Linked DNA regions of Oryctolagus cuniculus. The protein of the gene in region 1 interacts with the protein of each later gene in a biochemical or structural test. Links are inferred from orthologs where the notes say so. Each region holds a gene or a part of one and is shown on either strand. Other genes may lie near its edges. The genes, in order: BMP7 and ACVR1.

Region 1 (4,259 bases):
GCCAGGAACTCCACGGACTCTGAGCCCCCAAGTGAGGCTGTCAGAGCCCCCCCCCCCCAGGAAACAAACCCTGTCTCCAAGCTCAATCCCCCCTGAGCACCCCACACTCCCCCTGGGGAGGGGGCAGAGCCGAGGTTGGAACCCCCCCCCCCCCACTGCCATCAGGGTGAGGCTCTGCTCTGCTGGGTAACAGGGGAGGAGCCTGAGCCCGGGGTGGGGGAGGGACGCTGGCGGGTTCCCAGGCGGCTGGGTCCTGTGGGACACAGGGTCCTTTACTGATGGTGGGGGAGGAGAAAGGTTGGGGTGGGGCCCCAGGTCACCACCTGCTGCTGTCTGCTCCTCCCCGGGCCGATGGCGAGGTGGACAGTGGCTGGGCTGGGGCTTTCAGACCCCAGACCGAGGGAGGTCTTGTTCATTCCGTGAAGGCTGGCCACAGGCACGGGGTGGGGGGGGGGGGGCGGGCGCTGGGCTCCCAGGGCGTCGCGGCTCTAAGCGGGGCAGACGGCACAGTAGAGAGTGCAGTTCCGCACAGTGAAAGAAATTAAGGAAAAGAGAACAAAGTGGGTGGAGCCCAGGAGAGGACGCTGCTCGCCAGGGCGTTGGGAGCGGGAGCTCCGGGCAGAGGGAGAGGCAGGCCCCTGGAGGCGCGCAGGCCAGCGGGGCTGCAGTGCCAGGCGGAGGGGGCTGAGGGACCAGGCGGAGCCGGGGCCGCCGCCTCCCGGAAAGCCTGCCCCCTCCGCGCCGTTCCCGGCTTTTCCCAGCGCAGCCCGATCTCCATCGCTCCGGCCCGGGGCCTCCTTTCTTGCCCCCGAGGGGGCAGGGCCGGCCTGGGGTCCTCCCTCCGCATCCCGCGCGGTCGGGTCCCGCGGCGGGCGCCCCGTGGCCACTCGGTCAATATTTGCCGAGCGCGCTGGAAGAATGAATGAACCCATTGGGCACAGCTGGGGGGAGGGCGGGGCCGAGGGCAGGTGGGAGGCCGGCCCGGGAGGGGCCGGGCAAGCCCGTCCTCCGCCTCCCGGCTCGCAGGCCCCAGCGCGCACCGCTCCGGGGCTCCGGAGGCGGCCTCTGGGGCGATCAGGGGCGCGCGGGGCTGTGAGCGCGAGCCGGGGCCTCGCTCTCCCCGCCGGGGGTCGGCAGAGGGTGGGTCGCGGCCGCGCGAGGCGAAAGCAGCCGGAGGAAGGAGCGCTCGCCCGCCCGCCGCCTCGCCTCCTCCCCGGCGCTCGCTCTCGGGACGCCTAGGTTTGCTGGCTGCTCCTCCCACCCGCGCCCGCCTCCTCGCTCGCCTGCTTGCTCGCTCGCCGGAGCTGGTTTCCTAGCCGTGCGGTGCGCCCGGACGAGCGCGGGGCAAGGGGCCCGGGGCCAGCGCGGAGCAGGGTGGGGGGCGGGGGTCGGGGCAGAGCGCAGCCGGCCGGGGAGGGGCCATGTCTGGCGCGGGCGCAGCGGGGCCCGTCTACAGCAAGTGACCGAGCGGCGTGGACGGCCGCCTGCCCCCTCTGCCACCTGGGGAGGCGCGGAGCCTGGTGCCCGGAGCCCGCGAGCCGGCGCGATGCACGTGCGCTCGCTGCGAGCCGCGGCGCCGCACAGCTTCGTGGCGCTCTGGGCGCCCCTGTTCCTGCTGCGCTCCGCCCTGGCCGACTTCAGCCTGGACAACGAGGTGCACTCCAGCTTCATCCACCGGCGCCTCCGCAGCCAGGAGCGGCGCGAGATGCAGCGGGAGATCCTCTCCATCTTGGGCTTGCCGCACCGCCCGCGCCCCCACCTCCAGGGCAAGCACAACTCGGCGCCCATGTTCATGCTGGACTTGTACAATGCCATGGCGGTGGAGGAGGGCGGCGGGCCCGACGGCCAGGGCTTCTCCTACCCCTACAAGGCCGTCTTCAGCACCCAGGGCCCCCCTCTGGCCAGCCTGCAAGATAGCCGCTTCCTCACCGACGCGGACATGGTCATGAGCTTCGTGAACCTCGGTGAGTGAGGGCAGGGCGGCCGTGAGCGTCTCCGGTGGGGGCGTCTCGGCCCGGGGAGGGGGCCACTCCGCCCGTCCAGCGCGCCCATCTTTCCGCTCGTGGCCGGTTGCAACGCGGCAGCTGCTGTCTCCGGGTGTCCGAGCCCTCGGCCCTAGTGGACCCAAGCCGTGTGCACCCTCAGGTAGGGCGGACCGGCCTCAGCTGGCCTGTGCAAGTTGCTGGGAGGGAGGGAGGGGCCGACCGGACCGGAGCCCCCTCGGAGTTAGGTCACCCGCCGGGCCGCGGCTCAGTTCAAAGCGCCGGGGCTGGGTCATGTGAGCCGTCCCGGGCCGGCGCGGCCCCGCGCTACCTGGATTTAAAGGGCCGCGCTCGGGGAAGCCGCCTTCCCGCCCTCCCTCGGCTCCTCTCCCCGCAGCTGGGCCCCGGCACCGCGGACGTCGCCTTCCCTTCGTCTCCCCGGCGAGCCCTACCTGTCCCCTCGCGGCGCGCCAGCCTGGGCGAGCCGCGCGCTCCAAGCGCCTCTGGGCCCCTCTCCCGGCCGCCGGGCGCCCCCCTCGGCCCGGGCTCCCACGGCCGCAGCTGGGGAAGAGCCGTTGCCATTGCGAGCTTTCTATTTTAAATATGTAATGATAGGTCCCGGGCGGGCAGAATCCATTTTCAGCGTTTATCACGTGTGGCGCGCAAACCACCGGTTCTGGCGATTGGGTGGCGGGCGTCTCGGTGCAGACACCGCCGGGGGCGCCCGGGGCCCCCGGTTCCCGGCCCCAGCTGCCGGGAGGCGGGGTGGGGGCGCGCGAGGCACGCACCAGACTCGCACAAACTCACCCCCGGCAGCGCGCTCTGAGCGCTGAGGATCAAATATTTGGTTTCCGAGATAACACGCCCGGGTTAGCCGCTTTTATTCTACGTGTGCGCCGCGCCGCGGAAACCCAAACCAAGTCGGGGCAAGAGACCCACGACCGCGGGCGCCGTCAACCAGGAAGCGAGGGACACCGAAGCCCGGCGCTGGGCACAGGGGCGCGCATGGCGGCGGCTGGGGGCGCCCCGGGAAGCGCGGATCCGCCTCCCGGGCTTCCCGCTCCAGATAAGGTCCCTGAGGTTCCCGGGAGGCCATTGTCTGCCCTTAATAATGGCCAAGATCAAGTTGGGAACCGGAGCTTCCGCGGAGAAGGGGTGGAAGGGTCAGATGGCAAAATAACTTCGGGAAAGTTTAAATGAGGCTCTGCCGCCTGTTCAAGGGGGAGGCGGCGTCCTGGGTTTTGATCGAGAGCAATTCCCGGGGAGCCTGGGGTGGCAGGGAGCAAGGTGCAGGCCTCGAGGGTCACATGGGTGCTTGTCCCACTGGGACAAGATCTGGCAGCGCGGTGGGGCTGGGGGAGGGAGCCGGGGCTGTTTTCCTCCTGCGATTCCCTTTTTATGTTTGTCTTTATTGAAAGCAACATTCCGAATGTGTACATACAAGTCGATGAGGGCACTTGGGGCTCTGTGGTCCTCCAGGGCCGTGTCTCGGGTGGGGTTTGTGGGATCCTGGGTTCTGTTGTGTGCCGGTGGCTCCCACCGAGTGCGGCATCTCAGGTCCCGGCAGCTGCCTCCGGAGCTTGGCCAGGGTCATTACAGAAGTATCCGTAATCCCCAGCTCCTGTCCAGGCTCTGGAAAACCCAGCAGAAAGTACCCAGTTGCTCAGGCACAGGCAGCATGGCCGGCCCGGGAGAAGAGCTGGGTTGCTATGTGGGGGCCCCTGGACACTTGGCTGCACCGCCCCCCTCCTGGCAGCGGGAGCAAGCCGAGACCTGTTTGGGAAGGCCGCAGCTGGGTGGCTTTCCTCTGGCTGCACACACACCTTTCAATCCGCGGCTTTCATCTCGAAGGGACAAAGACCTGCTTGTCTGAGCCTCTTAATCAGCGGGGCTGGCTCTGGGCTTTGTGGACGCCCCCGCAACATCACTCCACATCAGAGGGCAGAGTGCATGGAGTTGTTTTCTTTCTCTCTCTGTCCCTAAACTCGAGGTGACGAGGTGGCTGAAGACCTGGGCTGCAGCCTGTGGACGCCTCCAAGGTCGGCCTTTAATTTCTGTGCAGTGACGGCACGGGGGTAAACTCGCTGTCTCTTCTGATCTACTGCTCGCTCGCTCGGAATTTCTCCATAGGAGGGACTTCCCGGGGGACTGGGGAGGGCTGGGGGTGTGTAGGAGACTTGTTCAGGCACTTGGATGGCTGCGAAGGACACTCTGTTTTTCCCCGGGGTTGCGGATCACCGTGGTGTGTGAGACACAGTTTTCTCCAGGATGGTTGAT
Region 2 (3,858 bases), on another chromosome or scaffold:
AGGCTTATCTCTCTACATTTTATTTTGTGCCTTCAATATGAGACTAGGTAAGAGTGGCCTAAAACATATATCCGTGTCTGTAGTTGATGGGAACTCAGTACATGTAGAATGAATGAGTGGGGAAATGAGTATTTCATATGACATTATTTGCATCCCTTCCAGTATCCCTTCCAGTTGTAATTTTTTTACAAAATAATTTCATAACAAAAAGGGATATTTTGATTTTTTTAAAAAAGATTTACTTATTTATTCAAAATTAATATATATATATCTGAATTTTGAATAAATAAGTAAATATATATGTATATATGAGAGAGAGAGAAAGATATCTTCCATCTGCTGCTTTACTCCTCAGATGGGCACAGCTGCCCAGGCTGGGCCAGGCCAAGCTTCTTTGGGTCTCCCATGTAGATGGCTGGGGCACAAATACTTTGGCCATCTTCTGTTGCTTTCCCAGGCTATTAGCAGTGACGCAAACATTCATATGGGATGCCAGCATCACAGGTGGTGGCTTTACTCACTGTGCCACAGCACCAGTCGCTGATCATAGTTTTGATTTGCTTATTTGCCTGTTTGTGAAAAATTGTTATTTCTATTCCTGGTTTGAAATCATTAGATCTTTGTACTTTCTTTGAGGTGTCTTATCCCTTTCTGATCACCAAAGGAATTTTGTCCTAGACCTGCTATGCTTTATTGGGCACAATAGAGCTGTGCATATCTACTATTGCAGCATTTTTTTTCAATAACTGTGATTATAAGAGAAGTGGTCATATAGTTTCCTCTAACAGTTACCATTCCTGTAATTCCCTGCAAGGTATATACTTATTGCCTTGTTCTCTATTTACTTTAGGTTCTACCTGTAGGATCCAGAGCTGCCTTGGAGCATGAGGAAAGCGATCAGTTAGGTCTTTCCCCTGTCCCATTACAGTCTGTGACAGCCCTCCTAGATCCCCGGGGCAACCTCTACTCCCTTGCTGACCTAACGCCGTGCTTGTCCCATTGCAGGTATAGTGGAGGATTATAAGCCACCATTCTATGATGTGGTTCCCAATGACCCAAGTTTTGAAGATATGAGGAAAGTAGTCTGTGTTGATCAACAGAGGCCAAACATACCCAACAGATGGTTCTCAGACCCGGTAAGAGTTTCTGTATTTTGGAGCTGTCCTCATCTGCTGTTTGCTCGCTCTTGAGTTTGAGCTGGTGAAGTATCTGCATCATCTGCCCTGTGTGTCTGTTGCCCTTCCTCCCTATTTTATGAATTAGGCTCCTAAACCTTGCTGAATAGATTCGGAAAAGGAATTGTGCCTGATAGATCTTGCTAACTAACGACCCTATTTATGAGAATTTCAGTGATTTACTAGCTCTCCAGGAATTAGGACATTCATTCCTACTACTGCTAGCCCTAGGGCTGTAGTTTCAAGGGTAAACCAAGAAACCCTTGAGTGCTGGTTTGAATCTCCTGTCCATCTACATACCTGAAATTCCAAACATAAGCTACTCAGTGCTGAAGATCCTGTAGTCATAAATACAAAGGTACTTCAAAAAATTCGTGGAAAATTGGAATTAAATGGTAAGTTTATTTTGGTATAAAAAGTTTTGAAATCCCTGCATTCTTACAGTAGCAGATCTCAAACACTGAGAACTAATACATTTGTAAATTGTAGTATTATCTCTGGTTTTGTATTACTGCTGTTAATGCCCATAACAGTATCAAGGGGTGCATCATGGCCTGTGTAATTTACCTGATAAAGTAAGCTGGTAGTCCAAAGGACAGAGTCCATGAAACTTAAGAGCAGCTTCTTTATCAGCAGTTAAGACCTTGAGTATTTGCTTAAAGAAGATGGAAAAATAATGGCACCTTAACTTCACAAGACCTGCCAAGTTCTTCAGAACAGCTGACGTGGCTCCTGCCCAGCTTCCAGGGTCATTGAAAAGCCAGTTTGTCATTGTAGTGTGTGTCCTTTCTCTCCACAGACACTAACCTCTCTGGCCAAGCTGATGAAAGAATGCTGGTATCAGAATCCATCTGCAAGACTCACAGCTCTGCGTATCAAAAAGACTTTGACCAAAATTGATAATTCCCTAGACAAATTGAAAACTGACTGTTGACATTTTCGTGGTGTCAAGAAGGAAGATGTGACATTGTTGTTGTCCAGCTGGGACCTCATACCGGCCTGACTGGCTGTCAGAACAGAATCCCTGTCTCCCTCCCCAAGTGGCTGCTCTGACAAGGCAGATATCTTACCCAGCTGTGTGCTGGGGAGACACCAAAACCACCCTAACCTCGCTCAACGACTGTGAACTGGGCATTTCACGAACTGTTCACACCACAGAGACTAATGGTGGGCAGACACTGCTGCAAAGGTAGGGAACTGGAGGAACACAGAGAAATCCTAAAAGAGATCTGGGCATTAAGACAGTGGCTTTTGCATATCTTTCACAGGTCTCCTAGACACTCCCCACGGGAAACTCAAGGAGGTGGTGAATTTTAATCAGCAATATTGCCTGTGCTTCTCTTCTTTATTGCACTAGGAATTCTTTGCATTCCTTACTTGCACTGTTACTCTTAATTTTAAAGACCCAACCTGCCAAAACATTGGCTTTGTACTCCACTGGGCTGTCTTTGGTTAATAGGAATTCAATTTGGCAAAACAAAATGTAATGTCAGACTTTGCTGCATTTTACACATGTGCTGATGTTTACAATGATGCCGAACATTAGGAATTGTTTATATACAACTTTGCAAATTATTTATTACTTGTGCACTAAGCAGTTTTTACAAAACTGCCGTGTGCAAATGTTAAAGCTTATTTTTATGTGGTCTTATGATTTTATTACCGAAATGTTTTTAACACTATACTCTGAAATGGACATTTTCTTTTATTATCAGTTAAATTCACATTTTAAGTGCTTCACATTTGTATGTGTGTAGACTGTAACTTTTTTTTCAGTTCATATGCAGAACGTATTTAGTCCAGTACCCATGTGACACCACCGAATATATTACTGATTTAGAAGCAAAGATTTCAGTAGAATTTTAGTCCTGAACGCTGTGGGGAAAATGCATTTTCTTCGGAATTATCCATTATGTGCATTTAAACTCTGCCAGAAAAAAATAACTATTTTGTTTTAATCTACTTTTTGTATTTAGTAGTTATTTGTATAAATTAAATAAACTGTTTTCAAGTCAAACAGTGAAATTGTTTTTTAGTGTATGAAAAAGATCTGCATAACATAAAGCATTTTGCAATAGAAACACAAAATTTGTAAACTGATTTTGCTTTTCAGTTCTGCTAATGACCTTGAGGGTACAATAATGATGTACTACAGCTTGAATTTGGTATCAGAAAATTTGATTTTTATCTGTTTCTTCTCTTGGCTGTGGTTGCGTTTTTCCCTTTAGTTTCCCCAGCTATAAATCAGTTCTGTTACAGAACTCTCTGAGCTGCCTTTCTCCCAAGGAGACTGTGAATACAAGTGGGAGGAAGGGTAGCAAAGCATTTGGTTTAGTAGTTAAGTCCGATGTGAGCATAAAGTGGTCTTAGTCCTTAGTCCCACCTTGCTGCTTGGGAGAGTCCGATCTTGGTGTTTCTCACTTCTTGTACGCAGCAGGAGTCAAACAGTAGGGTTTAGAGCAGTCCAATAAGAGAAGAGGGGAGAAAATCCTCGAGCGTCCTGCAGAGGTAAGTTAGTAACCTCATTAGCATGCCTTCACTCGGAAAGGATATATTCTAGTCACATTTAGTGTCTTTGAAAATTAAAAAATAGATTTTTGATTCATGTTATACATAACATTTACTATCTAAACAGTTTTTAACTTTACAATTCAGTGGTATTAAGTTTGTTCCTGTTATTGTT

What was found.
Region 2: the proteins of BMP7 (region 1) and ACVR1 form a complex in vitro, tested with the Homo sapiens proteins (2 studies listed by BioGRID). The link is inferred for Oryctolagus cuniculus from reciprocal best matches to the Homo sapiens genes BMP7 and ACVR1.

The regions. Positions count from the first base shown.
Region 1 is NC_091442.1:4,585,924-4,590,182, forward strand, and holds the start of BMP7 (bone morphogenetic protein 7), read left to right. Parts: upstream 1-1,407; 5' UTR 1,408-1,546; coding exon 1,547-1,964; intron 1,965-4,259. UniProt on the Homo sapiens protein: Growth factor of the TGF-beta superfamily that plays important role in various biological processes, including embryogenesis, hematopoiesis, neurogenesis and skeletal morphogenesis.
Region 2 is NC_091434.1:84,308,131-84,311,988, forward strand, and holds the end of ACVR1 (activin receptor type-1), read left to right. Parts: intron 1-1,005; coding exon 1,006-1,136; intron 1,137-1,974; coding exon 1,975-2,109; 3' UTR 2,110-3,192; downstream 3,193-3,858. UniProt on the Homo sapiens protein: Bone morphogenetic protein (BMP) type I receptor that is involved in a wide variety of biological processes, including bone, heart, cartilage, nervous, and reproductive system development and regulation.